3 linked regions of the Oreochromis niloticus genome follow. The protein of the gene in region 1 interacts with the protein of each later gene in a biochemical or structural test. Links are inferred from orthologs where the notes say so. Each region holds a gene or a part of one and is shown in the gene's direction. Other genes may lie near its edges.

Region 1 (10,949 bases):
GATGCTGTCTTTCGTGCTTGGCTCTCCTACCTTTGCTAACATGATGCTCGTAGCGCAGAAGCCGATGCTGCATTCACTTACACTCGGATATCTGAGCTTCACTGTGAAAACATAATCGTACATTTGATATTTCATTGGATTTTATTGTTTTGGCTTCGGGGTGGCACCTGGGGTGGCCAGTCTGGTTGGGGGGGGGGGCCTGTGCCCCCCAGGCCACCCCGCTGGACACGCCACAGGCCTGTGGATGCAGGGTACACCCTGGACGGGTCTACCACAGGGCACACACAGACAGACACACACCCAGTCACCTGTTTTATATTGCGTATCATAGTTTTGTATATGTGGGTAATGATCCGTCTGATCGACTGTATCAGACATCATGGTTTCTCTTATATACTTGTTCTTGTTTCCTGGTTGTCACTTTAGCCAGTCGTGTTTTTCTCGATGACACGCAACAAATAAGGAAGCTGCAGTTCTGCACTGGCAGTGAGGATGTTTCCCTGTTTTATACGAGGTAGAAGCTGCAATCAGCTTTTGGAAAAAATCACGCATACATCCTTATTTATCCAGGTAAACACTCTGACACGCCCCCGTAGAGCTGGGACCTATAAGATGGTATCTTTACCTTATGTTACACTAACACTGGCAAACAGGATAAAGCCGGTTACAACTCGCTAAGATAACCCAGGGTTTGATCTGCGCATTGGGGAGGTGGCGTCTGCAGCGTCTGACCAATCACAAAGGAGCATGTCACAGATCATGTGGCTTTTCTCCCACAGATAATTATCAAAGCTCTGAAACATTAAACCGGATCCATGGAAACATGACAGCTTCCTGTTCCAGCGCTTGATGAAGGGTGTTTCAGGTGTGCATTCGGTGTTTCCAGCAGCGGATCACAATCGAGCAGCACATTAATACACGCACATTCCTGACAGCTTCAGCTTTTATTGTCTCAGCTGCTGTTTGTGGTCCGAGAGTAGAGATTCAAACATAAAAACGGAAACAGTACAAACCACACATTCACAGTGTGTGAATGTGTGTGTGAATGTGTGGATGACTGGTTGTGTAAAGCGCTTTGGGGTCCTTAGGGACCAGTAAAGTGCTATACAAATACAGGCCATTTACCATTTTTTTAAACCTGATATGAGCTCAGCAGGAATACATGAATGTTTACAAAACAATGAAACCGCTTCAAATTTGTTTTATCCTATTTTATGTTTTCTGCTTTGACTACTTTTGTCAACAGATGTTGTTTTAAAAGTGCTATATAAATAAACTTGAACTTGGTGCCGACAGGAAAAAAAAAAAGATTACTGAAGCTCATCGCATGAAGCCTCCAGACCCTCCCGCTCTCCCCGTGGCGGCCCGAGGGATCCTCCAGGAATGGTGACGCTACGTTCAAGGCTGCTGATTGGCCAGCCACCTTCAGAAAACTGACATTAACCCTGAAGTCACCCGGATTAGCCAAAAAGCCATCTTCGTGGTGCACACCTCCGATCATCAGAGCTCTTTATTATCACAGAATTTATGAATCAACATGATGCTCAGCCCTCACACAGTCACAGAGTCCACCAATCAGCAGTCAGCACAGCTGGGGCCTTCCAAAATAAAATACCTGCTGACCTCTGATCTCACAGACAGACCTCTCCTGGATGTTTCCATGACAACCAGGAGGTCCGAAGGAGTTCAGGACTCTGAGTTCAGGGAGGAGATTTTATCGATGGACTGCAGCAGCTGAGACACCAAACGCAGAGTCTCTGCTTCCCCCAGCAGCTGCCTGCAGAGACGGGTGAGACAGACACAGGTGGGTGAGAGACAGGTGAGACAGAGACAAGTGAGAGAGAGACACAGGTAAGAGGGAGACAGGTGGGCGGGAGACAGGTGAGAGAGAGAGAGCAGCAGCATTAACAGCTTGGTGTTGTGGCTGATGGCTGTGTGTGTCTGCAGGTACTGACCGGATGGAGGAGTGGGCGTGGCTTGCCATCTTGTTCAGGTAATCGGATGCCACCTGAGCATTTTGCCTCATCGTCATGACGACCTGAGACTCCGCCGACTTCAGACCGCTGTTCTCAGCCCGCAGAGAATCAACCTCGGCCTCAAACACACACACACACACGCTGATACACACAGCCAGCAGATTATCGATAATCGATGATTCATTCTCCATCTCACCTGCAGCTGCTGTAGCTCCGCCTTCAGTTTGGAAACGGCATTCTCCGCTTTCACCGCTCGCCTCTAACACGGACAGACGTAGAGCATTTTTACACACAATCACACACCTGTTCATGCAAACACTGTGTGTGTGTGTTTGTGTGTGTGTACCGTCATCAGGTGGAGGTTCTGCTCCACAGAGTGAACCATGCTCTCCAGGTCCTGGGCCTCCTTCTCCTCCTGACGCCTCCTCTGCAGCAGCTCCTCCGAGAGCTGCGACGCCCTGGGAGACAGGGGCATGCTGGGTAAATGATTGGTCAGCGACATGGCGGCTCTGTCCTGTGATTGGTTGGTACAAACCTGCGTTCATTCACTTCTGCTCTCCTCTGCAGCTCCCTGACGGTCCTCCTCAGCGCTGCGTTCTCCTCCTTCAGCTGAGACAGAACAGGAGCTTGTTAACACCCCTGTTCTGCTTTGTCCCACGCTCCCTGAACTAAGCGCTCCGTGGTTGGGTTACCTGTTGCGTCTGGCTGCTCCTGGTACTCCTCCTCCTGCAGGAGGTGGCTGACTCAGCCATTGAGGTCTCATCATCTCCTTCATAGTTCTCTCCTCCTCCTCCTGCACCTCTGCCTGCAGCTTCTTCAGGTTTGGAGGAGAACCTGGTGACACAGGTGAAGGTGACCTCACGGCAGGTGGAGTTTCATCTGCACAGAAGCTGCTCGGAGGTCTTTACGCCCCGCACTTCATCAGACTCACCTGGTCTCCTCCTCTTCTTCTTCCTCCTCTGTGCACAGGGAGGAGGTGCTGTCAACGCCTGACTGGAAGCTCCGCCCCCACTCCTCCTCCTCCTCCTCCTGATGAGACAGACAGAGGCTGTGTGCGGCGGGTCGGGTGTATCCTTCGTGGTCCACGCTATCCCAAGATTCACTGCGAATCTGAGGTTGAAAAAATGTTTTGGAAAAAATGGCGGACGGTCAAAGGGAAGCGGTCCAGAAACGGACGAATGTTAGCATAATGAAGAATGTGAAAACACGTTAAACTCAGCTAACCTTCAGCTAAGTTACTTGACGTTAGCGATATCTAACATGGCTCGGGTCGTACGAGCTTTGGTCGGTTTGTCGCTGTGAAGCCAAACGTACGTCAACGTTTACAGTGAGCAGACGTTCAGGCTGTAAGCCAAGTGTATTTACGGGGACCAAACATCTGGCCCATGGACTGTGCTGAGGACACAGACTCAACCATGCTGCACTGAAGTTCTCATCCTGTATAAGCTACTACTGATAAGACAGACAGACCGTGTGCTTAGAGGAGAAAACTGTGTGTGTTTCATCTGTTAACAGATATTTGATCAAGTTTTCTGCCTTTGTTGTTAACGGCCACGGTTGAGTCCAGAGTCAGGAGAGAGGAGACGGCACAGAGGCTCTCCACCCCTGATGATACACCGGGACATCGTGTGAGGAGGAGGAGGAGGCAGCAGCAGCTGAGACATGCAGAGGATGATCTCTACAGTCGGTGGAAACACTGAAACAGTTTCTAGATATTTGCTTCGTGTATTTGCAGAAGCATGTCCAACACAAACTGTACCAGCTGCATGCAGGGACGCGCTCGCTGATGTTTATCCTGCAGGACAGACAGAATACAGGGAACTACACACAGCTCTGATTGGTCCACAGTGTATTTAGTTCAAATATTGTTTGTTGCACAGTTTTCTCTCCAATAAATAAATATCCATGTATCAGTTCATGTTCATGTTATGTGAAACATACAAAGGATCACATGTTTAAATGTGACTTTCAGACTGTGGCTGCAGTTTATTTATATTTGTCTTCGAGACAGTCGCAGGGATTCAATTTGAACTGAAATGTACGGAATTATATTCCATAACCAACGCACTGCTACAGTTTCATGCTATCGTGGGTAGGCAGAGCCTAAAGAAGCACGGGCTCCCGGTGTGATTGGTCCTTTTCATGGACACTTCAGGTTACACTGTGGCAGCAACAGAAACGCTGTTTTAAACTGTGCAGCCGTGGAAATACTGACACCTGTCAGTGGGTTGTTGATGTCGAAGCATGGAGGAGGGGCCTAAGGGAACATGTGTCACCATTCTACAGCCATTCCCCAACCCTCTGTGAGTGGGACTCATCAGTGGGTTAGAGTGGGCCATTCTGCTGTGTCAGTCGTTATGCAGATGTCCTGTTTATAAGGTTGGAACCTGCAGTCAGCTGACACTGAAGGAGTCAGCTGATGATGATGAAACTCCCACTGAAAACGTCCAGATGAACACAACCAGCTTTTTGGGATTTCCTAACCTGGATGACTGAGCGTGCATCAAGGCAAGGCCACGGCTCTAGCTGCTACTGTCGCAGTTGCTAGGCAACAGGAACTGCTTGTCCACTTTAACAGGTCTGTACTTCTGGTGTTCGTGACCTTGGAAGGACCCGCCCTACGTAGACCGTGTAGGTCCTTCCAAGGATGCAACCCCTGAATGTGGACACAGCCACAGGGCGTTCCAAAGCGTCTCCTATCCCCTAACCTCTTTTCCTTGACCCCGGTGAGGACTCAGGAAAAGAGAAAAGTGGTATGCTGAGAATTGGAACGACCTCACACTTGTGTCTGCTTAACAGCGTGACGCCGGATCCCCAAAGTGTTGAAACTACAACAAGCAGAAGCTGGACTACAAAACGCACATCTGACTCCATGCCGTGCTATAACCTCATTGGTTTGTGGAGGTCGTTCAGAGGAGGAGGAGCAGGTAGGGTCAGATGACGTCACAGAGCACAAACACGTGTTGTGTCACTGCAGATGCTCAGAGTGGGTCTGTGCTCACAGCTGTGACACGCGTGTGTTTGTGATGGAGTCACTGTTTTCTGCAGATTTTGAGAAACAGCAGCTGATCTCAGGTCATCTCTGCTGTTTCATGAGAACAGTTACTCAGCAGCATGAAGTGGGCTGAACACTCAGCGTGGGACCGATGGACGGTTTGAGGACAGAGCCAGAGTCTGAGCTGTGAGTCGATTACACGCTCGGCCCACAGCGATCACATCCATGACCGCCACAGCACAGCAGTTTGAAGTTTGTGTCACTCTTTTAAATATGCACATGTACACGCATGTCACAGCTGTGAGCACAGACCTGCTCTGTGTTTGTGCTCACTGCTTTACCGGAGGACAGAGGTGCACCTCCAGCTGTGCAGCTCTGACCTCAGTGCGTGCCTGCTCCGGGTCCGGGTCCTGGCTCTTCCAGCGCAGAAACTCTCTGAAGGAGAACGGGTTGAGCTCCTCTGCCTCCTCCTTCACCTCCTCCACCTCCTCATCTGCACACACAGAACAGCTGGAGCTGTGACGGAGGCTCACATGGAGACTGCAGACCTCCCCCCCGACACTCACCGTCTGTGATGATCAGAGTCTTGCTGCCTCTTTGTTTAGACATGTCGGACTCGCAGACAGACACGTGGCTCGCTCCGCCCCCTGGCTTCCGTTCACGTATCGATCATAACTATCGATCAGCCTCTGAATCCTCTCTGCCGGACCAAACCAAACCCGGAAACACCAGCTGACGGCTCCCGGTGCACGTGATCCACATTCCGACTTATCATTGGCTGGAACTACTTCCTGACGTCAGAGAAAAAAATAGGCCACAAGGAAGCGCGTGTCCCGCAGGGTCCCGGTCAAGAAATCGAACCACGTGTCGCGGTTCGTGGATGCGGTTCGTGGACGCGCAGAGACCCGGATGCTGGTTCTGGCTCGGCTGAGTGCAGAGAAGAAGGCGCGCGGAGACTGACAGCACCGGCGGGGTTCCGGTTTCACGGTGAGTGGGAGTCTCGGACACGCGGTCTGTGTTTGCTGCCACAGTGGGGCGTGGGGATGTTGCACTGTGTGCTCTGGGGCCACGACGAGCCCACGGATGTCCAAGATCCTGTGGCTAGTGATGGGTAGATGAGGCCTCGTGAAGCGTTTCAGCACATTCCCCAAACTGTATTGATACTGTGTCGACACAGTGTTGCTGTTTTGCTCCATACTGACACCTGCTGGACCGTAAATATCATTGCAGGGAACTTACTTGAGACTCACAACAGACACTGATTCAATGACCTAGTCATACTTGTACACTGTAAGGTATTGTACTTTCCATGGAATCATTTTATATCTTTTACGTTTCAAATATTGTAGACATCTTTAAAATATGTTGTGAATGACACTAAGTGAAAATTAAAATGAAAGTATTGTGAATGTAATAATAAATTTGAGTCAGAGTTTATTATAAAATTCTATTCAGAAAAATAAGTTTATTCAGTGTTTTTGCATTCAGTCTATTTCTTTGCAAACTCCTTTGACATTCAGTCTATTGCGTTTTTTTGACCCCATTTCCCCAGCTTTGGAAAACTCACAGGCACAGATGAAGCTGGGGTACAAAAACTGTAAAGCCAGGTGGAAAAGGTTCTGATAAGATGTCTTCCTATTCCCCCAGTACGTTAAAGGATCCTCTGATCTTGGAATGTTTCTGTCCGACACTCTCCACAATACTAAGGGGTTGGAAGTCCTTTATAATAAAATTCAGGACTGTCTGGTCCAGAACAGTCTTCCTAGATGCTTGATTTCAAAATAATAAAACACATATTAATAAAAAAAAATGATGATAAAGCTGTTCAGTGTCAATATAGGCTGACCTGTGTTCATTCTCAGTGTGTTTGTCTCCTCATTTTCATGTTTGGCTCTGTAATGCCTAAACACTGAGGATAGATTACACTGAAACAAAGACAGACAAACTATTACCTTATTTGCGGTTAAAAGATCAAAATGATCCCACACAGCAGAAACATTTCTTTTTCTTTCGGGCTCCATTTTGTTATGGAGAGATGTGTTTTGTTTTTTGTTTTTTTAATCTTTGCGAGAGTAATTTTGTGGGGGTTTTTTTGTTTTTTTTTTGTGGCGTCTCGTTCCGTTGACAGACGCGGATGCGGTACTTTTTAAACACAGTTTGGCGCGTTGGCAATGAGCAATACAGCAGCTGTATCGATCACGTGACTTTTTCTTAAAGCGACTCACGCACCGATACAGGCTTCGCTAGGTGAGCTTGATACATGTGTCGGTGCGTCAGTGTTGCAGGACCCATCACTACCTGTGGCAGAAACCCAAACTCTTCTTCTCTTGTTCTTGATTTTGTCTCTCATGTGTCTGCAGAGCTGAAGGATGTCTGAAGAGGGGCCACCTCAGTCCCAAACCCAGTCCACTCTGTCCCCGTCCCAGGCCAAGTCCCAGTCCCAGTCCCAGCCTGGTTCCAGTTCATCCAGTGGGCCCACCTCAGCCAGTCAGTCGTCAAGTGGCTCGGGGACTCTGAGCAGCGTGGACACCATCCCCGTAACGCTCGCGTCCGTCCCAGAGGAGCCCGAGCCGCAACCCTGGGGCCGCCTACTGCCCATGGTCCCAGGCTTCAGGAGCCACGGTACCGCTGCTCACAACACGCCGACGCGCTGGCTAGTTCTCCATTCACTCTGTTCTTAATCAGATTCCACTAAACTGAACATATTGTGCTGTGTCTGGAATTAGTAATTACTAGAATTAGCAGCAGAATTAGCATTATCAGCCAGCCGAGCTCCCCTGTTCCATACTTTAAACAACACATGAAGTAATCAGGATACTTCTGTTCAGCAGACAGTGCTTCAGGTGTGACTGATCTTTAGACTGTAGATAAAAGATGGACATGGCATCCTGGTTTTTCAACTCCTCTTCCTTTTTCGAGCATGGAGTGACCAGAGGATGAGCTAGCTGCTGCTGCTAATTAGCATCCAAATAAAATCCCGGAATTGCAGGTTTTGTAATTCCACTGGGTGGGGGGTGGGGGGTGGGTTGCCGAGAAGACTGCATAGAGGAGCACTTCCTGTTTGTTTGTTTGTTTGTTTGTTTACAGACTGCATAGAGGACCAGTACCTGTTTGGACGGGACTCCAGGTGTAACTACGTCCTGGAGGATCCAAATGACCGAAATTCCAGAAAGTTTAGAATCTACAGCAAGAAACACTTCAGGATCTACAGAGTGAGACTACTGCAGTACTACTACCACTGATATTAGCACTGATCGTACTGTGAGTACTGCGCTCACGGGGCTTTAACGTCGCCCTCTCCACCTGTGTGTGTCAGGAGGGCTCGGAGGTCTTCGTGGAGGACCTCAGTAATAATGGCACTTTTCTCGATGGGATTCCGATCGGGAAAGACAAGAAGCTTCCTCTGGTCAATAACGCCGTCATCTCTCTGGCTGAACAACGAAACCGAGGTGATTCCGCCCACCAGAGCAGCACCTGAAAACACCTGGACACCCTGGCGCCGGTCTCACCTCCTGCTCCTGTCTCTCTGCAGTGTTTGTCTTCATCGACCTGATGTCGGACGATCAGTCCAGCTTACCCAGAGACCTACAAGAGAAATACTTACTGACCCGACGCATTGGCATGTGAGTTGTTTCGTGGCGTTGTGATGTCATTTCCTGTGCCGGTACCACCCTGCTGACTGTGTGTGTTTCAGAGGAGTGTGTGGCGAGGTCCGGCTGGCTTTCGAGCGATCCACCTGCAGGAAGTTTGCAGTGAAAATCATAAACAAGAAGAACTTTCAGTCTGAAGGGGTGAGTCGCGTCATCTGCTCTCTGATTGGCTGAGACCCGCTGCTCGTTTCTTTCGACTGCGTGTTTGTCAGCAGGTGTGATTGTGTCAGTTCATTTATGAATTTTAATAGTGTCAAAAATGCAGACGCCCCTCTCTGTCAAACTAACAGTGCACTGCATGAAATCACCACAGGGGGGCGGTAAACTGTCAGTACACTGCTTAATTTAAATATTTCCGGTGCCAGCCAATCAGGTATTGAATTTAACTCAGTTTAACCCAATGACATGTCAGCAAGGTGTGAAAACACAGATACCTCCCAGAGAACTACAAACATGGCATCTCAACCTTATTTTGAGAGTTGAAGGGGAGCAACCAATGGTGATCATGTGACTTATTTTTCTGTCCAATCACAGACAGCGACACGAAATGCAAAGACGGAGATCGAGATCCTGCAGAGGGTCGACCACGTGAGTAACACCAACGAAGAAGAAGAAAAAGCGCAAGTACAGGAACGCTCCTTTATCGCCAGTAACAACACTCATCCTTCCTTTCCTTCTCTTCACTCCTTGTCTCCTGCAGCCTTGTCTCATAAAGACGGAGGACTTCTATCAGACGGAGGAAAGTTTCTACATCGTGTTGGAGCTGTGCGTTAAACTCCACCTGTCTCTCTCACCTGTCTCTCAGGCTACGTCCACACTAATACGTTTTTGTTTGAAAACGCATCTTTTTCTTTCCGTTTTGGCCTCCCGTCCACGCTGAGACGGCGTTTTCGCTCAAGGAAAACGACGCCATTTGAAAACGGTGCTTTTCCAAAACTGTGACACATTTTAGTCATGTGATGCAGTCATGTGACCAATTAAACAAAGCTAGCAGAGGGCATTACACAGCAGCCCTATCAAAGATTAATATCAGTCTGTACATGCTCCAGACAGCTTTTCTTCAGATTCTTTAACTCTCACTCGCTTTTGCAACTTTGTACTTTTGTGTTACTCGCAGCAACAACTCCACCTCATTGTTAGTCCATTTAAAAACTCGGTGCTTTTCAAAGAGACGTTTCAAAGAGCCGGAAAGTAAATAAACGGCAGACAGAAATGAGGCAGGCCGAATCGTCTTGCGTTTCACACATGCGCAGAATGTAAGTGTTTTTGGCGGTTTCAATGTGGACGCACAACTCTGAAAACGACTGAAAATGATAGTGTGGACGTAGCCTCACTCTCTCACCTGTCTCACCTGTGTCTCTCTCTCACCTGTCTGTCTCACCTGTCAGGATGGAGGGGGGGGAGCTGTTCCACAGAGTGAAGTCGAAGCAGCAGCTCAACGAATCTGTTGCCAAACTTTATTTTTACCAGATGCTTCGTGCTGTGCAGGTGAGCTGGTGTTGCTATGGTAAAGAGCGCACACACACACACACACACACACACACACACACACACACACACACACACACAGGTGCAGCGACTGTAACTCTGTGTGTGTGTGTGTGTGTGTGTGTGTGTGTGTGTGTAGTATCTCCACAGTAACGGGATCATCCACAGAGACCTGAAGCCGGAGAACATCCTGCTGTCCTCACAGGACGACGTGTGTCTCATCAAGGTACGTGCGCTCACCTGCAGCATCACCACCTCCACCTCCACCTCCTCACTGACTGTGTGTGCGTCAGGTGACGGACTTTAACCAGTCTCGGATCCTGGAGGAAGCGGTGCTGATGAGGACTCTGTGTGGGACTCCATCTTACCTGGCTCCGGAGGTGTTCACGCACGCGTCCACCACGGGTTACGGTCTCGCCGTGGACGCCTGGAGCCTCGGCGTGCTGCTCTTCGTCTGGTAGGCTCGGGCCTCCTGCTGCAGGGTGATGATGGATGATTTGTGTTGTCAGGGAAACACTTTGGTTTATTTGCCTGTCGCGCCACCTCGACTCGTGCACTTGCTCGTTTGCCCGCCTGGTTACCTTCGGCACATGAAAACAGAGCCGCTGCCGGCACGCCAGAGTCTGTTTCTACTTCCTGCGTGGAGCCAAAGAATGTAGTACTGTGCAAAAGTCTTGAGCCCCCTCTTTTCTTGATATTTTGTTTCCAGCAGCCAGAGCTGAGCCGACACCTTTAACCCTCTGGTGTCCAGGGTATAATTGGCCGTTTTTGACTACTCTTGATTTGACCTTCTATATTTCATCTTTGAAAACTGTTCATCTTGCCTTGTTTGGTATCACA
Region 2 (10,895 bases), on another chromosome or scaffold:
CTGGTTAAAATGATAAGAAAGGAAATGCTTTTAACCGCAAACCACATGCTCCGACTAACAATAAAATGATCTTACTTGATTGGACACCATCTGCACTTTCCCCACAGGATTCGGTCCTACAACAGAAACAGGAAGCATCATGGGCTTCACGGGTGATGGCAGGACGAGTGCTGACCCTTCAAACAGGAGCACAGATGTCATTGTCTGATAATTATGATACTGAGAAAGTTACTGAAAGTGAAGGAAAAGGATTAAACATGGGGACATGCCTTGTTGCCATTAATAACTCAAAACCAAACAAGCAAACAAACAAACAAGCAAACAAAAACTATGCTTAACCACAATGTCCCTGCAATTTTCTGCCAGAAAAACTTTACTTTCAATATTTTGGACTGTAATCAGTGCAATAATGTGGAAAATTATGTCAGTTTTGCAGCCTTCTGTCTCTTACCAGTGGAGTAACTTGTAGAGCGAGTTGGTGTTGTCACTGCATATTGATTTGTGGGCAAAGGCTGTCTGTTTGAGACACCAGCAGGCAGCACCACCTGTCTGCCTTCAGCTTCGGTAGATTGGGGCTCTGTTACAAGGAAATAGCTGGCTCCTTGGATGGCAGGGTTAGTGGCATCCAGGGGTAGTTGAATTATATAGCTCTGCTGGGCCTGTGACGTCCCAGTTAGTGGAGATGCAGTTACTGCTCCAGCCTTGCTGCTCAGAGGACTAGCAAATGCCTCAGACCTTTGTAATCCACTAACTGCCTGTGCCACCTCATCCATGTTGGCCTTTGGAGTTTCAGGGCATCCTACCGACTTAGCTGGGGAGGAAACGTAAATGGTGGGAATCTTGTCTCCAGAAATGCTGGAAATTGCCTGGTTTAAGGCTGTGTCACTGGAAGAACCTTCATCTTGGTTATCACTTATGATTATTTTCAAAGACATGACATTACTGGAGTCTGTTGCAGCTGTGTTTTGGATGCTTGTGGTTAACAGATCAGCTGTTGTTGCAACTGAAGCTGCAGGAGGAGGGGCAACGGGGGCACAGGAGGAGGACGAGGATGCGGGTGAGGCAGCTGTGAATGAGGCATGTGCAGCTCTTGGACTCGCAGTGGTAGAAGCACACGTTGGTGCGGCAGGTGTTGCAGTAGATGGGGCAGCAATAAAAGCAGATGAGGGTGAGGCTGCTGAAGCTGTAGCATCTGTAGAAGAGGATGTTTTTAAGACAGATTTTGATATTACTGAGAAAGTAGACACTGGTAGAGTATCTCCTCCACTGTTTGAGACTAATATTTGAGGTAGGTCAGCGGCGGGCGCTGGAGTGATGTTCAGCTGAACTTGTTCGGGAGGCAAAGATGATGCTCCAGCTGCACCAGGTTGATCTTTAAACTCTTGTGATTGTTTAGGTTCTTGTTGGTTGTTCATATTTGAGGCCAATGTTTCCTCTGGCTCAAGAAAAGCACCAGAGTCCACTGGCGAGGGGACTGTGGAAGATTCACCAAAGACAGGTGAGACAGAAGTGCTGTCCTTTGTGGGAGGCTCCTGAGTGGCCAAACTGTCCAAAGGAGGAGGGGGAGGTGTATTCAGTGGTTCATCAATATCCATTGGTGTTTCATTGACAGTGTTAGTGAAAATTGGATCTTTTTCTTTTCTGTTTGAGTTTGTTGGAGCACTTGAGACACCTCGGGGATCCCCTTGACTCACTATCAGTCTGGCTGAACTGTTTTCAATCCTGGATGATCTGCCATTGGGACCAAGAACTGTTTTCTTTAACAGTGTTGGAGGAGCGGACTTTCTTGTCTTTCGCTCTTGCCCAGGTTTCGTCTTCACCGTCATTGGTGTTGTATCTGAAGCAGGTGAATCACTGTGTGTGGCACCTGAAAATAGAAACAGAGTTCAACTATTCATTTGTCTCCATTGTTAGCAGAAATGATAAAATGCTCGACCTCTCATAGAAAGTTATTTAAACTTGGAAAAACTTTTGGATTTTTACTATAATTTCATTATTGATGTTTCCAGGTTTTATGAAGTCCAAGTGGCAGGGCTGTTCCTGTAACCAGCTGACAACCACTCTCTTTTTCCCCACCATTCTCAACAACACCATGAACGTCTTGCAGGAGAGATTGTCTGAAAGTGCACTCCACCTCTTTGTCATGGCTAGTATTTTCCTCCAGTTCATTTCAGTTCTTAAATTAGGAATAATTATACGTACTTTTCAATTTTTGACTTTGTTTTACACAGTTTACCAACTGTTAGAAGCTCAAGAAGCTTAAGCCTTACACCTTTAAGCCCCTTCCAGACTTCCTGTAGGCATTTATGCTGCCTTTTCAACGTTTAGATTATGACAGACTACCTGTATCAATATTTTGAAGGAGTCTGATTGCAGATGTAGGTCCAGCAGTATCGGTCTCTTCTGGACTACTGCTCGTATCGCCATCTCCTGCTTCTCCATCTGTGAATTTAGTTTTATCTGCAAACATAAATTTATAAAAAGTCTTACAATAGTTCTTTAGTTAAACTGTTACAGACAGTTGCGAACCATTATTTAAAGGAAAAGACATTAAAGTAAATGAGGTCATAGTTACTGCAGTCAAAGAGGTCAAAGAGAGCCTGAAAAGCTGGGTCGGACTCAGTTTGCTCCAAAATGTCATGGATGGCGTCGTCACTCATATGAATTTCCCCCTGTATACGTGAGTGAATACTGGTAAATTACACAGAAAAAGTGAAAACACTACAAGCTAAATTTTAGGAAAAAAGAAAAATAAATCACCTGTAATCCTAGTATTTCATCTATAGACTGGTCTGTCTCCACTGTACTTGAAGAACCCTTTGATGTTTGGGGCACTGGCTCACTGATAGTAGTGATGAAACAGAGTAGGAAACAGCACAGTCATTATCAAAAACTGTGCACAATACATCCAAGTGCACACAAAATGAAGAGTCCTGTTGCGTTAATTACTTTGCAAGGATTTTGTTGATGTTTTCAGCAAGCTTCTCTTGTAATGACCTGTCACCCAGTATCTTGTCACGTGCGTTTTGTATCACAAGCTGCTGTAAAGAGTGAGATGAAACAGAGAGTATGTCATTTCTGATGCAATAAAGTAATTTTTCTTTGTATCTAGAGACACATAGTGATATATGACCATTCAGCAGATCAACAAGGTTTTAAACAACAATGTCAGTGGATTTGTTAATATGTGATTGAAGTGTAGTCTTTAACTTGTCTCTGTGATTAGGAAACCTAGCATTACTGACATACTTACAGGGAAGTTTTCATCAACAACCTCTTCAGGTTGGGGTTCTGCACTGCTGCTGCCAGCAGGTGTAGCAGATCTGCCAGGGGCACTGGAGCCACTCAGAGCACCACTTCTCTTCCTGGGGGTGTCCCTGAAGACAACAGAAAAACATTTTAAACAAACCATGGGAATAACAATAACAGCACAATAAAGTCACTGTTAAACAGAAATATCACATGCTGAAGATCTAATTAATCAATCAAGTTGGGGTGACCCAGCACAGACAACATTCCAGGTTGAGTACACATGGTTATCGGCGGTCCTGCCCACTTTGCATCAAAAGCATGTTCTTTTCGTCGCAGTCCCTTGAAGTCGCCAAATATCACTTTCTATGGTCTCTGATGGCTATATCACTGCGGACTGCTTCCAGTGTGTACACACATTAAGGAACAACATACTGATATTGAGTCATTTAGATAAACAGTGACACAGTCTTGTGACTGATTAATGTCATGTGAAATTCACTACAATCAGCATTTTTTTTTAGCTCAACCAGCCAAAGGACCGATTAGTTTATGACATGGCATCTGATGTCCTCTCCATCCACAGTTCAGAAGGATCACTACTCCTTCTAGATTGGTCAGAACTGAATCAACACAATCCCCAACTGATGTATTTTTTTTGTGCTCAGGATCACAACTCTCATTTTACGGTAAACACCCTGTGAAGTTTGACGAATCCTTAGCAAGAAAAGCTACTGAATCATTAACATTCTGGATTATGCAACACACCAAGTACATGTTTGTTGTTTCTGCAATCATTAGTCACATTTTCTGCAATGCGAAAGGTTTACTCAGTGGTACTGTAAAGTCATTGTAACAGCAAGGTCCATGCACAATTTGTGTACAATGAAAGCTAATTTTTCCATCCACTTTAGATTAGTCTGTCTTTAGCACTCTGGACAGATGTTTATGTAATAACACCTATAGTAAAGCATTAACAACTATTCTTACCATTTCCTTCGACCAGGAGACATTGGGCCTGGATTTAGCCGATGCTCTGAAACAATGATCTGCACGGGTGAATCCCCTGTAATGAACAAGTTTGAATATTTATTATTAAAAACTACATTTAATACTTAGTTAGTATGTGTGCATTAAATGAATAATGAGCTCATAGAGCGTTGCTATCTCCTTAAAAAGCTGTGATCTTAGCATCACTTTACTTTAGCATTTGTACTCAGTTGTGTGTTATATTACTGACTGGGTGTAGTCATTAATCGGCTGCTGTCATGAATATGCTGGCTTGTGCCACTGCCAGATGCTGGTCTGCTGTTCAGACCACTGTAGCACACTGGGGTGGAGTGGGCAAGCATGCTGTGGGAGGTGTGCGCTGGGCTGATGATGGTGCTCGTCTCAGAAACCGATGAACAGACAACACCACCCGCAGAAGCCACGGCAAGGACCCGCTGTCTAGCCATGTTTGCCAATCCAACACGTGAACGTGCTGCAACACACAGAAGCTGATAAGTAAATAGGTTACATATAAAACCTGAACGCTGAGGCACTGTTTGACAACTGTAAGTAATCATGGTGCCAATTTCCCAATTTGATGTATAGACAATTCAGAAGTTAATTGGGTAACATGCCAGTTCCTGAGGTTTTAGGAACAGGCAACTATAATCACAATAAGCTCATGATTAGGGAAGTCCCTTTTCAAACAGTTTCTGTTCCTACGTTATAGGTATATTTCTACATAAATGCATCAATGCATTAAACCTGATGCTTTCGGCTACATCACCACGTATTAGCCCATTACATAACAACAAACAACCTGACAAACTTACTTCTCTGACATGCTGATATAGCAGGGGAATTCTGCAATGACCTAAGGAAAGATGCAGAAAAATATTCACATATTAATTCACTGCACCAAGTTTTAGCATTGAGAAACACAGCAGCAGATGTTTATGATTCGTCTCACAACAACATACCAATCAACAATAGAAAACGATATGAAATCATTTTTCAAAATCAGCCCAATGCATCCTATGCTATCACACAATTATTAGTGAAGCTCATTACTTAATCTGGTTGAGTGTAAAATCCAGCTTTTTCCACAATGAAGTCATCACGACGGGAACCTCATGACAAGACTCTGTTGAAAATATGAGTAATCATCAGCAACAAAACCATGACATATGAACAATAATCGGTTATAAAATACTAAAGACATCCTCTGGATGGCTTACCTTTTGTTTTAGCAGCTACATACTCATTTAAAATGGTCGTCAGGCTCTTCCCAAAGATGGACTGTGTGAGGAAAGATTAAACAGAAATGCAGTCAGCTGCCATCATGACAGTTCAGGCTGTGGAGGCGGCTTACAAGAGGGAGGAAGGCACACTTACAAAAACGCAAGCAGGAATAGTCCCATCTCCTGTGGTGTGCTCGGCATACTCTTTCAGGTTGGGGCTCTCATGAATGAAAGCTTGGCTTGTAGCTGACAGCCCCTCTTCTTGGAGGTACCCTAGCGGAAGGACATTAGTAGCACCTTAGTCAGCAGTAACAGTTACCCTCCAACTGCAGCCCAATCAACCGTTAAGGCTGTGAGACTAAAGCTACCCATTTACACTCGACTGTCATTGCTGGCTAACCCCACAGCTACTCGTCTGCTATGGACGACCAGACTTACCCAAAACAAGCCGAGCGACGTCAGACGGTAGCAACATGACCGACTACTTGTTGGTAAAAGCGGCCTCAAATGTGAAAAGGTAACTCCATGTTCAGGAAAAGTCTCCGAGAAGCTCGAAAAACTGTCTGAAATGAAACCACGTCAGTGATATTATTGTGAAGGCGACGTCTTCACAATACTGCTTCTATACTCAAAAGGCGGGGAACTCAAGCACGTATAACCCGGAAGTACCAAGACCAAGCTATCGATTAGAATTGTGGTAGTTGTAGTCCAAATAGAAAAAGTCAATCTGGATAACGTTCTATAGTGTCTTACATATATATACTGTAATTTATAGGTTGAACGTGACTTCAGCATGTCGTATACCACTTCAATAACACAATACCTATTAAAAACATTAGGTTTATTTTCATGCTGATAGAAAAGTGAATGGACTCACTCAATACCAGGCATAAGAAGGAAGTGATGTGAGCAGTTGAGCCTTGCTGCTGGGGCGGGAATATTTTATGCGTGGGTTACGTGTGCGTGCGTGCGTGTGGCTCTACAAGATGGCAAAGTTGTCATGGCAGGTACAGTAGCGGTGTGCCTTAACTCAGCTAACATCTGCACCTGCAAGTGTGACAACTCCGCAACTGCAATCACTGCAGTCATCTGAGGTCAGTGAACAGCGCAGGTGTTTGAATGGACATTTGTGAATGAAGTTAAAAGCTTAATCTGCCAGTTTCGTGTTGCTAAAGTAGTTTGCATGAGCAGTGAAGCAGTGAATAAAGTGTGGGTCGAATGGTAGAAATCTACAATGTCTACTAAGTAATAATAGTGTAGGTATAAAGCGGATGAGTAACAACTTTTGTCAACATCCTGTCCCTCCAGTGTGTACATCCACGGTGAGGCACAATGAGCCTGGCTCTTCATGATCTCCTGGCCTGCTGCAGAGCACTCGAGAATGACAAAGCTACAGAGAGGAAGGTGAAAAAGACGAACTACTGCCTATCAGTTGTCCAAATAAATGAATTCATAGGCGATTCAATGTACTTTAAATAGGTTAAACAACTCCCTATTTAGCTTATTTTAAAATAACAGAGGATAACTAACACTGTTGTCCAGTTATCATGGCAAAGCAGCCCAACACCAGTAACAACCACAGTTATCCTTTAATTCACTTCTTTTAGTTACTACCTTCAAATCAGGGCTCTTCTTACTGTAAAATATTGAACTCAGTCAGAAGCTCAGATTGCATCGCTTATACATCTGCTGAGCATCAGCATCTGTCCTGCCCACTTGCAAATAAGATGCAATTTGCCTGTGGCTTGCACCACATCAATTTTGCACTTTATAAGTGTACAAAGGCAGTGCGATGAATAGCTGAAAGACTCTAAAATCAGTAATTTTTCTAAATAAAGGTTTATTTACTTTCCTGGCACGAGTAGCAACAAAAACAAAATAGGATCTGCCAGTCATCTTGGTATGTTAATGGTCTGTATAGCCCCACAAGTTCTCAGTTGTGACACATTATGCGTATTTATTGAACAGAATTTCAAATCCTGGTTCTTCCTGTTAAAATGGGGGGTTTTCATCCCACCCTCGCTAAGTGCCTGCTCGTATTGGGTCGCTTGATTGTTGGGGTTTTCTCCAATACCGTTGGGTCTTTAACTTACAGTATAAAGAGCTTTGAAGTGAATTTTGTGGGGAATTGTCCATAATTAAATAAACCTGAATTGATTTTAATGTTTTTTTAATCAATGCGTTGTAAATGCTTTTTATTTCATCTCGTAATTATTATCAGAAAGAAGCTGAGCACTTCAGACGGCTCCTTCGATCTCCAGAGATTGTGCAAGAACTCGATCGTAACTCATCAGCTAAAGCAAAAGCTTCCAAGCAACTCACATGGGATGCTGTTTTCAGGTAACCTGCATCAGAGTATTTGCAACCATATAAATACAAAATGTATATATCTATAAGGTGTTTCCAGAGAAGGGACTATTTTCTACCTTTTTGCATCTTTTGAAAAGTTCTTAAATAAGTATTTGCTCTTATTTCATATTCTGCAACATGCTCGTAACTCATAAATGATTTTAGCTAAAGTTAGCCCATGTACCGGAACAAGTGGCTTCTATAAATGAATGCTCTTTATTCTGCTTGGCATTTCTTGCATCAGGTTTCTGCAGCGCTATGTCCAAAAGGAGACGGAAAGCATGCAATCAAGCAAATCCAACGTCACGGCAACCACGCTGGCCACGCGGCAGAAGAAGATGGCTGAAATATGCAGCCTGATCAAATACTTCATTCGCTGTGCTAACAAACGTAAGAGCAGGAGCAGGTTGCAATATGTTTTGGGTGAATGTATGTCGTAATAAATTAGGGAACATTCATGTATCTTTATATTTATAAGTATCTTTCATTAATTCATCAGACACAGTAGAAAAAATATTGAATGAACTGTGGGGACTGCAGTTAAGAGTGTCCTCTTCTTCCTCCAGGCGGGCCTCGTCTGAAGTGCAGTGAGCTGCTGAAACATGTGCTGGAGGTTCTGCAGAGTTCGTACTGCTGTTCAGCCTATGGAGAAGATTATAGCAGCCTCCTTGTAAAGGACATCCTCTCTGTCCGCAAGTACTGGTGTGACATCGCTCCACAACAGTGGCATAGTCAGTGGGCTATTTGGAGTTTTATTTTATAAACATGAGGAAGCAGACAAAAGTAAGAATTGATGGATCTGTGTTTATTCTTGATCCTTAGATCTTTTGGACTTGTACTGTGGTTTGTTCAACTCCTCGTCCAGACCCATCAACCGCGTTTTGGTGAGCAGAGTGATCCACACGGTGGTGCAGGGCTGCTGCATGCAGACCGATGGATTCAATGACACGCTGTTCAGCTTTTTCTCCAAAGCACTGCTTAATGTCAGGTGAAAACTTTTAACACCGTTTTAGATTTGCGTTGAATAAATGTTCCGGTATTAGTCGCTAAATTTAAACACTATGCATTCTTCGTATCAATCGTATCAGGCAGGAGAAACACTTGGCTGTTTTGGAGCACCTTGTCTCAGCTCTGAACATCTTCTTGAGATCTGCAGCCATGAATTGTAGGATGAGGCTGTGTCGACTGGGAGAGGAGCTTCTGCCTTCCATACTGTACGTCTGGGCAGACATGAGGCCCAGTCCAGCTCTCAAAGAGGAGATTGTGGAGTTCTTCAACCTACAGATTTGTGTCCACCACCCCAAAGGAGCCAAGACACAGGACACAGGTTCTTCTTTTAGAAACTTAATTTTAAATGTTGATTTCCAGTGTTTGTGGTTAATAGTGGTCGGAGGCCAGGCTACACTCACAAACCCTTTGTTAGGTACACCTTCCTTTCTGGTTCGTCTTCTGCTGCTGTAGCCCATCTGCTTTAAGGTTTGACGTCTTGCACATTTTGAGATGCTCTTCTTCACCTTGATGAAGACCATCCAACCACTTTGTTTTAAGAAGGGCATATTTGAGTTTCCTATCTCTTAGAACAATATAACCTTTCTCCTTTAATCTTTGACATCACAAAAGCATTTTCGCTTAGAAAACTGTCGCTCGCTGGACATTTCCTCTTTTTTGGATCATTTTCTGTAAACTGCAGACATGGTTATGTAGGAAAATCCCAGCAGATCAGCAGTTTCTGAAACACTCAGACCAGCATGTCTTGCAACAACAAGCATGGTACATTCAAAGTAATTAAATCAGCTTTCTTCCTCATTCTGATGCTCAGTTTGTATTTGGGGGGCTGTGGCTAAGGAGGTAGAGCGGACTGGAAGGTTGGTTGTTCGATCCCTGTCTGCTCCTGCTTCCAACCTTCTTTTTGGGCAAGATACTGAATCTCGGGTTGTTCCCGATGCATTCCAGACTAATGCATTCATTGGTGTGTGAGTGTGTGTGAATGTTAGATAGAAACCAGTAAGCAAGTAAAAAACTTTAATTTAAATTTAATCGCAGTGCACCAATCTTTCAAATTTCACTGGCGAAAACATCAAAAATATAAGCTTTTGCAAACCTGTGGCTGAACTCAAGGTTTGCTTTCATTTGTTGGCAGTAGTTATTTAAACGTCATGAGCATAAATATTTGAATATCCTTAAATAAATAACCAATAACTGGTGGCTGCGCTCACTCATACTGCAGGTGCGCATGCTGAGGACTGGTCCAAGTGGCGGAGTCTGCTGTACAACCTCTACAACGCGTTGGTCAGGGAGATCGGTCACATAGGCAGCAGAGGGAAGTACGTCACAGGGACCAGACACATAGCCGTCAAAGACAATCTCATTGAGCTCACGGCTGACATCTGTCACCAGGTAAGAAAGATCGAACGTCACGTATGCACCGAGTGCATCAAGGTTCAGCTTCGCTCAAAAGTGCGGTGAGGAAGCTCATTAGAGGAGTTTGTCTGGACAAATTTAATCCTTTAAACGCGCGTATGTTTTTTTTGCTGTAGCTGTTTAATGATGACAGTGATACCCACATCGTGGAGGTCACCCAGGCCTCCATCAGAGCCACACAGATGGGCAGTCTCACCCACGGAGCTGCCAGCAAGCGCCGGCGTATCGAAATGGGCTGGGAGGTCCTCCGTGAGCATCTGCAGCCTCAGCACAGTGACTTTGATGTCATACCGTGGTATGATAATCACAGCACAAATAATATAAACACATTTTCAAGTTAAATAAAGACAATTACTGGGTAGAGTGACTTATAAATCAGCGATATTGCTTTTTATTTTATGGGGCATCAATTCTGCCTTGAGACACAAAGGACTGCTGTGCAATCAGCATCACATAAAGACATTCCCGTCTTTTATTTTCCCTCTCAGGCTGCAAATCACCACAGCGCTCACCTCTAAGTACCCATACATGGTGCCTGGACGGGAGCTGGTCTCACTGCTGTCAGTGTTGCACCAGCTCCTGGCAGAGCAGCGGAGGGGAGAGAGGGGTCTGTATGTGCTGCGCTGTCTGAGAGAGGTGGCCCGG
Region 3 (10,862 bases), on another chromosome or scaffold:
CACTGCACACCGTCATGATCCTGTACCCCTGCAGACATATCCGTATCCAGGTTCTTGCACGCGGACGCGACTGGGTTAGTTCCCTAACATGCCGAGCATCACCTTTACCTGAAATGGTGCAAATAACCCACAAATAACCCAGCTGTCTTTTTGCACGTGCTGCAGGATATTCCGGACTCGCTCTGGACTCCTCGAGAGCCAACGTGATGTGTAACTGCACAGACGACAGCATCTATATGTTCAATGTCTGCGGAATAAAAACGACACCAGGTAAAGAAGCTCCTCACTCTGGCTCAACACTGTGTGGATATGCACTAGAATAGGTATTTTTTCTGGTCACCCATTCATCACTAGATGGCGCTAATGCACTTTGTTATAGGGAACAAAGCATCCAGCAGCAGAAGCCTCTTGATGCAAATAAAAGCCGTAGATGCTTTGTTTTCTAGTGTTACATGTTCAAGTCTGATCTGAAGTTCTGAATAGCAGTGGGTTAGGTGGTGTTTGACAGTTTGCAATACAGGAAGCCATTTCAAGATGCATCATGACAGTTTTTTAATGGAAACGAAAGAGGAAAGTGTCACTAAATGTACAGAAACTAGAGGAAAGTTCAGCATTTGTCTTTTTATTGTTATATACACAGTACTTTAGATTCTATTCTTTTATTTGATTGTCCTTAGGCTTGTTTGTTCTCTGATCTTCGTGAATATTTTGCCATTTTAAAGAATTATGTTTCATCCACAGTGGCAGTTTTCAGCGGTCACCAGAACTCCTCGTTTTATGTGAAGTCCAGCGTTAGCCCAGATGACCAGTTCTTGGCCAGCGGCTCAAGTGACAACCACACTTACATTTGGAAGGTGCGTTATTGGCTATATTTTACCTGACGTAATAAAAATTGCTTTATTTTTACTCTGGGTTTTTTTTGTTGTTGAGGAACTGTGAATTTAAGGTTTTTGAACATTTTTTGTTACAATGCAGATCTCCAATCCTGAACTTCCTCCCATGACGCTTCAAGGTCATAGTGAGGAAGTGACGTCTGTTGCATGGTGTCCAACAGATTTCACCAAGGTAAGACATAAGTGGTTATACAAGTATGAACACTGCTGTGAATTGGAGGAGTTTTAATGAGCCGAGAAGCACCTGAACCAGCTGCACTTTGCTGGAAGATGAGGGGCGCTCTGACTTTATTCGATTTAATGAGCTTCTGTATAAAGCCCTCTGCTCTGTTGGCAGATTGCTTCCTGTTCCGATGACCACACTGTGCGCATCTGGCGACTTCACCGAGAAAATGATGAAGTACAGTCATCATTAGGAGAGGCTAACCTAATAGGCCGTGCACGTCCTAAGATTCTCCCAAGTAAGTGCTTCACCTACAATGTATTCTTGTGAATAACTACCATACTGTCATAAAACCATAGAGGTTTCACTTACATTATGTGCATGTGAATTTGTGCATCATCATAAATCACTGCTGTCCTGCAATTAAATACAAAACATGATCACATCTGGACTCAAACTACTCTATTCTGCTACTAAGGGCCTTCCATTCCAGCTGAGACAACCCCTGCCAAGCCCCAGAGGAGAGTGAGCCTTGGTGGCATAGCCTCACCTCAGCCTGCAGCCTGTGCTCCCAGTGGAGCCGCCCTGCCCCTTTCTTCCAGCACCACTACACCCAACTGTTCACAGGACTCTAAAACTGCAGCTGTTCGCCACAGAACTCCACCCACTATCAAACAGTGGTTGTCCCCAAGCAGCAGATCTTCCGAACAGGTTGGCTCTCCAGCCCATCGGGTGCTGAGCCAGTCTCCCCAGAGCTCGGCAAGCAGCACGCCCCCCACAGAACGACGGGCCAAACGCAGGCTGGAAACCGGTGACGGTTCGTCTTCAAACTGTGAGGGCACTGAACAGTGCGACTGCGTTACTGAACTCTCCCCTGCAGCCAAGAGGAGCCGGACCCTCTCTGGTGTTTGCTGCCCAGCTCAGGAGAGCCCAGCACAAACAGACTGCCACACAGAGGACAACAATGCGGCTTCATCCAGACAGACCGACAAGGAGAACTGCTCTCCCAGAGGAGTGAACTGGCTGTCAGTGATGAGCCAGAAGCTGAGGAAAGGTCAAAGAAGCCCTAGAAGTCCCAAAGGTGCCAGAAGTCCCAGTGCTGCTAAGAAACAAGAAAGCAAGACACCAGCATCACCAGTAAGTATAAAACTCACAGGTTTGGGAGTGGATTAACATTCATCTTTTCTCATCTGAAATTATCCTCAGGTTTGGTGCTGTGATGCAAGGGTGGTGTTATATGTAGTTCAGTTATACTGAAACACAACTGGCAGCCGATGAGGTGGAGATTTTAAACTGCAGCTGCCCATCAGCCACCTACAGACGCTGCTTGTTTCCACCTTCTGCTACAGCTGCTGTAGATGGTGGAGTCAAAGCCAGATATGATGCCATTTCTTAAATGATTCAAGGAGCTTTTCAGTAAAATATTCTTTCAGGAAAAGGAACTCATATCAGCACAGACAGCAGGGGTGTCAAAAATAAGGTCCGGGGGCAAAAATCGGCCCAGCAAAGACTCCTGTCAGGCATCACCGAAAGGCTTTAAAAAGTGAATGAGTGCATGGATTTTAAACTCTTATCTGTATTTTCATAGGTTTTAAAGCTTTTCCTATTGATAAAGAGCTCCCCTGTAGCAATTAGTACTAAATCAAAGTAGTTAAGTAATAGAAAAACAATTGAACACCTGTTTTTTTTAAAAATATGTTTATTCCATAGAAAAACGGCAACGCAATGGTCATTTTTCTTAGTCTTAAAGACAGGGATTAAATATTTAGTTAAATGTCTTTCACTGGTCAAGCCCATCAAAGTGGGCTGTATGTAGCACACGATGTAAAATGAGTTTGATATTCCTTACATACTGTAGGCATTGGCACTGATATGTCTGGGTGATTATATTTTTATTACATGTTGTATCCATGCATGTTGTTTTAGCTTTTAAGATGATCCTTTGTTTTTTTTCATTTATGTTTTCCAGAATGTGTGCACCCCTCCAGCCATGAAGAAAATCTCCATGTATTTTACAAAAAGGCCGCTGGATTGACCTGGTTGTACCAAACTTGGTGCTTTTCTTTAAGAGGGTTTTATTCAAGGTGGTTTTTTTAGTGGGACCCAAAAACTATAAGCCTGTCAAGATTACTGAGATCAGAAGAGATCAGTCACTGAACATTTGATGGTGTGGATTTGACATCCAGGGACTGCTTTCCATTTTATTTAAATATGTTCTTTTTTTGGGGGTCTTTTTTTTTTTTTGCCTCCTACAGAATTTTCTTGTGTTGTGCAGAATTTCTGGCTGGCGACTAAAGTTACAAATATGACTACTTCTAGAGATGCTTCAGCATTAAATTGGAGAGTCCACATTTAAAAGGCTGATTAGATTTTAAAAAGTTGATCCTCAAGTGCAGAGAAAAGCATTCGTTCACAGAACAATTTAAAATCTCATTTAAAAATAATCAAGTTACTTGGTTCATATTGTTAAACCTTTTTATGAACCGCACTGTAAGCTGCTCACAGATCAGCTCTATAACATTTGTAAGCCAGCCATCTAAGTCACGTGTTTTCCGTGTATGAGTTTGCTCATTCATGTCGGAGTTGCACACGTGGTTTGCAATATATTTTTTCCTTACTGAGCAAATTTTTTGACTTGTTTATATGTACAGAAGAACCAATGAATGATGCTTGATTTATTTGTATTTAATTGATAAATCTAGCTGTAGTCAAATGTTATTAAACAGTTTTCTGTCTGTGTGCGTATTTGTGTGTATGTGAGGGACAGAGAGGGTCTGATGGGGGAGTGGTGAGAGTTTTAGTCGAGGTAATTAAAAGAGAAAATCTAAAGACCGAAAAACATTCAAACCTAAAAAATTAAATCTCTATCATCTCACACTTTTCTTTAGTTCCCTGCAGATTCGTGTGATTAGTAGTGATTTGTGAGATTAGTGGTTTACAGCTATTTTGTTTAATTTGGACATTCTTCTGCCCCAGAGAGGCAGAAGGTTTTTTTTTAACATGTATGTGTGATAGTAACTTATTATAGCAGCTGTGGTAAAACAGCAGCTGTGCTAAAGGCTTTCAGCGAAGTGACTTCCTCTGATTATAAATGCAGCTGCTTGTCAAAGTTGATTTTAAACAAACTGTATACAGTTTATGATTTTTATATATCGATGCATCAGTGAGCAATAAGCATGTTGAACTGAAGAGTACAAAAACCCAACATAAAAAAAAATAGGTGAGAGAATGATGGTAAGTTATTAAACTTTAAAAAGATGGTATACTGGTATTTGATGGTAGTTAAATAAATTTCAGTCTCTCAGATCACTTTAGAGGAATTTTTGCACGCTCTTCTTAACTGTGTCACTTCAGTTCATCGAGGTTTGTGGGCAAAGTTTATGCACAGCATTTCAGTCATATTGAGGTCTAGACTTTGACTGGGCCATTGCAACACATTGATTCATTTTTTTTCCAGCCATTGCTGTAGATATGGTGCTGTGCTCCTGTTACATATCACAATTTTGGCAAAACTTTAGTTGTCAGACAGATGGCTTCACACTCGACTCTATAATACTTTGGTTTACAAAGGAGTTTGTGGTTGACCCGATGACTTCAAGGTGCCCAGGTCCTGTGGTTGCAAAATAAGCCCAAATCACCCCCCCATTCCAGAATCGTCACTGATAGTTGGTAGGAGATGTTTGTCCTGATATGGTGTGTTTGCTTCTCTCAAAACATGATGCTGTGCATTATGGACAAACCTCTCCACTTTGGTCTTGTCCATCCAGAAGACATTTTCCAAAAGGCTTGAAGTTTGTTCAGATGTAATTTTGTAACCCTAAGCTCTGCTACTATGTTTTCTCCTGGTATGGTAGCACTAATTGTACTGATATGAACTTTAACATTTAGCATGCTTACTGAGACCTGAGATGTAGCTATAGGTGATTTGTAGTTTTGCTGAGCATTGCAGAGTCTGACCTTGGGGTGACTTTGCTGGAACGTCCACTCCTGGGAAGATGTTGGCATTTCTAAATGTTTCAAACCAGCAAACTGCCCAAACCTCTGCTTTTATTGAGATGCTCACACTTGCTGATTATTAGTTTATGAAGTGCAATTGATTGGTAGCACTTGACCACTACTTACCCTCTTAATTCCTGTGGAAACAGTGAGGGACTCCCTAGACTCCTGTTAAAAAATTTTTTTAAAACAATGTTTTGGATCCTTTTTTTTTCTAATGAAAAACTTGTTAACACTTACTGTTCCATTTCCATTATAATAGCAAATACATTTTCAAGTTAATAGATTTACATTTGTAAATTTGGAATTTGAAGAGGAATAAGGTTGTATCCATAGGGGGGAAGAAAATGGTAAAATCTACTACAAGATTAATATAAATAGATTTAAAAAAAAAAAGAAAAAGATAAATGACAATAATTAACATTGAGGATGTTAATTATTAACATCTTTATACAATCCATATTTAGAATTAGGCCAAAGGTTTCAGGACTTAGATCTATGGCACTCTTTTTAATAATTTAGGATATTTAGAATACATTCTTCTAGATTTCTTCTATGTTACTTTTGATGTAAGTGTAGTGATAAAAATAAAACTTTCTTGTCTCTATTACAGACAAAGTAAATGTACTAAAATAGAAACCTAATTTCCTGTGGAAAGGCCCTTATTTTAGGGTTTATACCTGTATTTTATAAACACACACAGCATGTAATGAGGAATGCATCGGGTTAGGGCGTGATACAGGCAGGGCCAAAGAGTGGTGTGAATTCCTAAATAATACAGTTTTCCAGGGTGGAATGACTGGACAGCATACGTCTTTAATGACTTTAAAAAACAAGAACAGGGTGCACAAGTTTGAATTTATTTTGGATTTTCTCTCTGGGGTTATGAGTGTACATACAGGCTCAAATATACACTTAAATCTTTTAATAAGTTTTCGGTGGGAGAAACGTTTCGTCACTCATCCAAGTGACTTCTTCAGTTATTTGTTATCGGAGTTTTTCCAAATGCAATATCTCAGGATCTCTTTTTTTTAATCCTAAAACAATCTGTGGCTTAAAAACTGAAACTATAAGTGGGATAATTCTTTAAAAAGCGCAAAGAAACACGCGGTGACAAATTGAACTCTTATTATATTATCTTATTATTATTTTCAATGTATTGCTACGAGACGTGTCTCAGTTTTTGTTCAACACCACTGCCTGTACAGCATCACCTATTTGTTTTCACATGTCACATGTTCAAGTCCCGCTTTCTGCGCGGCTTGATTGGTTTAAAAAGTTCCAGTTTTTTGAAATTTTCGCCTCTGATTGGCTGTTAGCAGCGTCAATCAGTGACGTACCCCTGTCAGCGCTCCGCAGTCAAGCTCACAGACACACAGTGACGGAGCGGCTGCACTGGGAGTGTTTACGGCTGCCTGCCTCAGCTCGACATCCAGTAATTTGCTGTTTTTGACAATACTCGGTCTTTATCGAGGTCGTGCTAGCGAAACAGTCTCACGCGATTCACTCGGAAGTGTGACGAAGGGTGAAATTTCTCTTAGGTGGATGAGGCTAACTTTCAAGCGCTAAATGAGTCGACGAGCGAAATTTAACTTCATCGATCGCGGATAGTTTTTTTCTCTCAAAAACACACTCAGCAGAATTCTGTCTAGGATTAAACCAGTGCTCGGAGACGCGGAATTTGTGTTTTAACGAAGAGCTGCAAAAAATTAACGGGGCAACTTTCTTTCGTAACTTTTTCCCCCCTCAGCAGCGGTGCAAATTGTTGTAACCGTCAGCTAATTTTTAGCAGGCTAGCTAACTGTCAGCTTAGGTCTACTGTAGACAGCTTCAATCCGGCAATGCATCTCTTATGTTTTGCAACAGGTAGACGTTTTTCGATCACAATGCAGCAGTAAAAAATGTCAGAAATTTAGGAGCTTATTCTTGTCGTGTTGGTCGCTCCGTGCTGTGTAGTGCGGGCGGTGTCGTGTGACTAAATTCGGCTTTTTTCGTATTTTGAAGACTGTCCCCCCTCCTCTGTATTTCATAGAGCAAGATAATGATGCAGTCTTTGGGCACAGCTTAACCTCCGTACCGACCGACCATGTTGGATCATACAAAAATAACACAAGCCTTCTGATGTGAAAAGGGGAAGGAAGCTTTTCGTATGACCTAGGAGATACAGTGCAAAAAAGTGTCAAGGTAGTTTTTTTTTTTTTTTTTAATTTTATGCATCAAAATGTCGGCCATCTCCGCATCAGAGAAAGTGGATGGGTTTACGAGGAAGTCCATGAGGAAGGCACAGAAGCAGAGAAAATCCCAGGGCTCCTCTCAGTATCGCACTCACACCGCTCCGGTCGAGCTCTCCCCGCTGCCGCAGCTCAAAGGTAAGAGGATGAAGGGGTCCGCCGCTTAAAATAGTCTGCCTGTCATGACCGCTGTGTGTGTGTGTGTACACTGTCGGATCCACTGCAGGTACACTGTGCATGCAGCCAGAAATGCATTGCACATTTTAAAGCTGGTCTGTATGCAGAAACCTGCCAAAAAAATGAAGCACATCTATTAACACTTGCAAGCAGCTTGTAAGAGTTGACCACAGGGTGTTTGAAAAGGCTCTGTGCCAAAGTGTGTTAAATTGGTTTTGTATTCTTGGAGAGTTTTGTCAATAGTTGTATTAACATCTCTTGATCCATTGTTTTGTTTTGTTTTGTTTTTGTGCTTGCTGGATGTTGTGTAATGACAAATGCACATCTCCAGAGCCATGTTGTCCGAGTGGCTAAGAAGGATTTATGTATTTGCGTCAAGGTGTTTTGAAGGATCAGTGTCTCCACACCTGATGCACTGATTGTAAAATTGAATTTGGCTTTGATATAAGTTTTGATTTGTCATGTTTTTAGTGTTTATTCCTTGTCTTGTACACACACACAAATAGCTGCCTTTTTTTTTTTTTAAGTCCAGCCAGTACAGCTCTTCATCACTCTACCATTTTATTTTATTTTTTGGCAAGCACTGTCTGTGTAGGGCCTCAGTCAACCAGACCATGATAGTCTTGAGGGTTTGAAAAAGAAGGCATCTGGACTTCTTTAGGTTTGTGAAGAGGTTTCGGCTTTCATCCAAGAAGCTTCTTCAGTTCTAAAACAACTGGTGGAGAGTCCTGGGTAATTAACCCCTAGTGGGGGACTGTCCCCTTTGGAGGTGATTCTGAGCGTCATGTTGACTCACATGATCAATAGTGGGTCAATAACCCTTTTGTCCTCACAAACCTAAAGAAGTCCAGTTACCTTCATGCATTGCATTTTCAAGCTTGTAGGCAGCTGGTTCAGAATGGGCCTTTGATGGGTAAGCGTTTGTCTTGCCTGACTTAACAGAATTTTATGTTTTTTCCCTGTTATCTCTGCCCATTTAATAAACAAATATAATTATTTAAAATATCTGTTTATAAGTTTTCAAATTCTTAAAAATATTAAAAAGAATAATACCGGAAGCTTACTAACAGACTAAATTAACATTGTTACTTTGTGTTGCAGGGGTTCATAGTGCAGTATGATAATTTATAAAAACGATAAAGATTCAATTTTTCAATCAAGCTGATGACCGGTAGCCAGACTTTCTAAAGGAGACCTGCTTTGTTTGACATGGGTGTAGCACATTTTCTAATTCCTTCAGCCACCCAAACTGGAAAGTTGGATGTATCTCAGACTTTTAAGATTGTAGCACAATTTTTCTTGCTAACATTGTCTATAAAGCCTGAGCTTCATAACGACACTTCACACTATTCGAGTCAACCACCCCAAACAATGCTGTAAGAGGGGCAAAAGGAAGCACTCTGTTAAAAGCCTTGATAAGTAACTCAAATATGTGACCCCCAAAAAATCTGTAATCTGTTAGACTGCACAAACTGATGAGATGGATTTCGTTGCTCAATTGGACATTTCACACACAGCGGTGAAGTGCTTTTGAATAATTTATGTAATCTGGTTGGAGAGAAGTGTAGTCTGTGGTAAGTTTTGAATTGTGTCTGTGCCATTTATAGAGAGAGCATGAATATTTCCCAAGGATTTTTAAGGTAAATACCATCTTATTTGATATACCAATTGGTAAGCAAGGATGTTCCTGGCCCATACGGATAATGAGTTGATATATCTGTGCAACCCAACAAAAAAGTGACAGCAGTTTGGCACTACAGACGGTGTGGTTGTTAGTAAATATTTTAGTTTTGATTATGAAATCAATAAGTTGAAATTTACTTTAGAAAATTAAGAATCAACTCCCCCCACAACCAGTGATTCTGTCACCCAAAGGACACAGAAAGGGAATCTGGATTAACACCTGAAAAGTTGTAAGACCCAACTTATCTGTCAGCAATATTGTGTTTGTCAAAGTCAGACCAGCTATGTGGCATAGGGCTAGGTGCAGCTCTGCTTCAGACACACACAGCTATCAGTGCAAGGAGACAAGTGAATGATTTAGCGTAGCTTAATGAGTGGACGTAAGTGGGTGGATATTGGCTGAACAAGTAAAGGTAAATGTTAGTGAGCCATAACAGTTGTCTGATGGCACCAACTCTTCCAGGCTGTTTTGTGTGTAAATAACAGTTAACAGAAACTAATTATACTGTATATGTGAGCTTAATGGTTGCAGCTTGTATCTAAAAGCTCCCCTGTGATTAGACCTGATGAGGGGAAACGCATATTTGAGTGGTTTTATTATGCATGTTTTAAAATTAATATTGGAGCATAGTTTTTGGACAGCTTTGACACCGCTAAGCCATAAAATGTTTGCTTCTGTTGACTCCTGTATGTTGATAATGGCACAGGCTGTTAATAGAGAAGACAACTTTGTGAAAGCTGAAGAAAGACACTGTAATCTTTTTTTTCTTTTCACACTGAGAAGTTTACATAGTGAGCTATTGTAAAGGGATTTCTAGTCCAAATATACTGTAATAAAACTCTTTTGCTAGAGGCAGAATTGCTTCAATACTTAACAAATAAGGATGAGGCAGGGAGTCCCATACACACTCCCATACTTTACTGAACCAATCTCGATATTTAAAGCTCAGTGCTGCAGTTTGTCTCCTGTGATGCTTCACAAGGCTGAAAGGACCAGAGAAAACAAGAACCACCTGTTACATGCTATGACGTTTGTTTTGTACTTGTCTCATTCTCATGTCAGTGACAGCCAGTAAGCACAGCCTCTGACTGCGCAGGAGATAATGCAAGACAGCAAAATGTGATCATCAAGCGAAATGTGACACTGCTTGGTTGAAACACGGGAGGCTGGTATAAAACCTCCTCGAGTCTGTTGTCTGCGTGTTTTAGGTGGAGACGGGCATGTGGGGTGGAGGCCTGGTTGTGTTTGTTATGTTATATGCCTGCCAGTTGTATCACTATACTTGTGTAGACTTTGCAATGTTGTTTTTTTAGCAAGTGTTCTCACCTGACCCCTTCAGAATTAGGTGTTTATTTATATTGTATGGTAAATTTAAGGCTTCATTAAATATACCAAAGTTTTACCTTTTTATAATATGGAAGCTACAGGCCCTCAAAATGCGTAGGTCTGATTAAAAAGTCTCCTTTAGCCTTCATAACTTTATATACAAGGAGTAGACGTGAAATTCTTGCAACTAAAAATACATTTACATTTACAAATTGCAAGCAAATCAATTTTATATCAACTTCAACTCTCACAATCTGAAGTCAACATATATCAGTGCCAATGCACCGATGTAATATCTGTGACACAGGGTAACAGAAGCAAGCACTGGTAACCTGGTAAGCTGAGCTTTTATTCATGATTTCTTCTGTGTCACAAGCTTTTGGTAAACCCAT

What was found.
Region 2: of the proteins of chek2 (region 1) and atm, one has a biochemical effect on the other in vitro, tested with the Homo sapiens proteins (6 studies listed by BioGRID, with this or other methods). The link is inferred for Oreochromis niloticus from reciprocal best matches to the Homo sapiens genes CHEK2 and ATM.
Region 3: the proteins of chek2 (region 1) and ppp2r5a form a complex in vitro, tested with the Homo sapiens proteins (2 studies listed by BioGRID and IntAct, with this or other methods). The link is inferred for Oreochromis niloticus from reciprocal best matches to the Homo sapiens genes CHEK2 and PPP2R5A.

The regions. Positions count from the first base shown.
Region 1 is NC_031977.2:37,554,363-37,565,311, forward strand, and holds the start of chek2 (serine/threonine-protein kinase Chk2), read left to right. Parts: upstream 1-5,819; 5' UTR 5,820-5,958; intron 5,959-7,331; 5' UTR 7,332-7,340; coding exon 7,341-7,593; intron 7,594-8,058; coding exon 8,059-8,183; intron 8,184-8,287; coding exon 8,288-8,420; intron 8,421-8,503; coding exon 8,504-8,594; intron 8,595-8,665; coding exon 8,666-8,762; intron 8,763-9,155; coding exon 9,156-9,209; intron 9,210-9,321; coding exon 9,322-9,386; intron 9,387-10,009; coding exon 10,010-10,109; intron 10,110-10,248; coding exon 10,249-10,335; intron 10,336-10,402; coding exon 10,403-10,566; intron 10,567-10,949. Other genes in the region: entr1 (endosome-associated-trafficking regulator 1), read right to left, coding at 1,687-1,777, 1,956-2,095, 2,173-2,235, 2,323-2,434, 2,512-2,585, 2,669-2,810, 2,908-3,086, 5,313-5,464 and 1 more. UniProt on the Homo sapiens protein: Serine/threonine-protein kinase which is required for checkpoint-mediated cell cycle arrest, activation of DNA repair and apoptosis in response to the presence of DNA double-strand breaks.
Region 2 is NC_031979.2:14,485,361-14,496,255, forward strand, and holds the start of atm (serine-protein kinase ATM), read left to right. Parts: upstream 1-6,407; 5' UTR 6,408-6,574; intron 6,575-6,788; 5' UTR 6,789-6,812; coding exon 6,813-6,884; intron 6,885-7,701; coding exon 7,702-7,820; intron 7,821-8,073; coding exon 8,074-8,219; intron 8,220-8,395; coding exon 8,396-8,560; intron 8,561-8,651; coding exon 8,652-8,817; intron 8,818-8,917; coding exon 8,918-9,156; intron 9,157-10,056; coding exon 10,057-10,226; intron 10,227-10,366; coding exon 10,367-10,545; intron 10,546-10,738; coding exon 10,739-10,895. Other genes in the region: protein NPAT, read right to left, coding at 76-176, 452-1,867, 2,344-2,460, 2,576-2,672, 2,761-2,842, 2,950-3,041, 3,254-3,377, 4,240-4,315 and 6 more.
Region 3 is NC_031980.2:13,641,838-13,652,699, forward strand, and holds the start of ppp2r5a (serine/threonine-protein phosphatase 2A 56 kDa regulatory subunit alpha isoform), read left to right. Parts: upstream 1-6,371; 5' UTR 6,372-6,487; intron 6,488-7,084; 5' UTR 7,085-7,273; coding exon 7,274-7,421; intron 7,422-10,862. Other genes in the region: dtl (denticleless protein homolog), read left to right, coding at 1-74, 166-270, 742-854, 976-1,065, 1,231-1,354, 1,535-2,193, 3,026-3,091. UniProt on the Homo sapiens protein: The B regulatory subunit might modulate substrate selectivity and catalytic activity, and might also direct the localization of the catalytic enzyme to a particular subcellular compartment.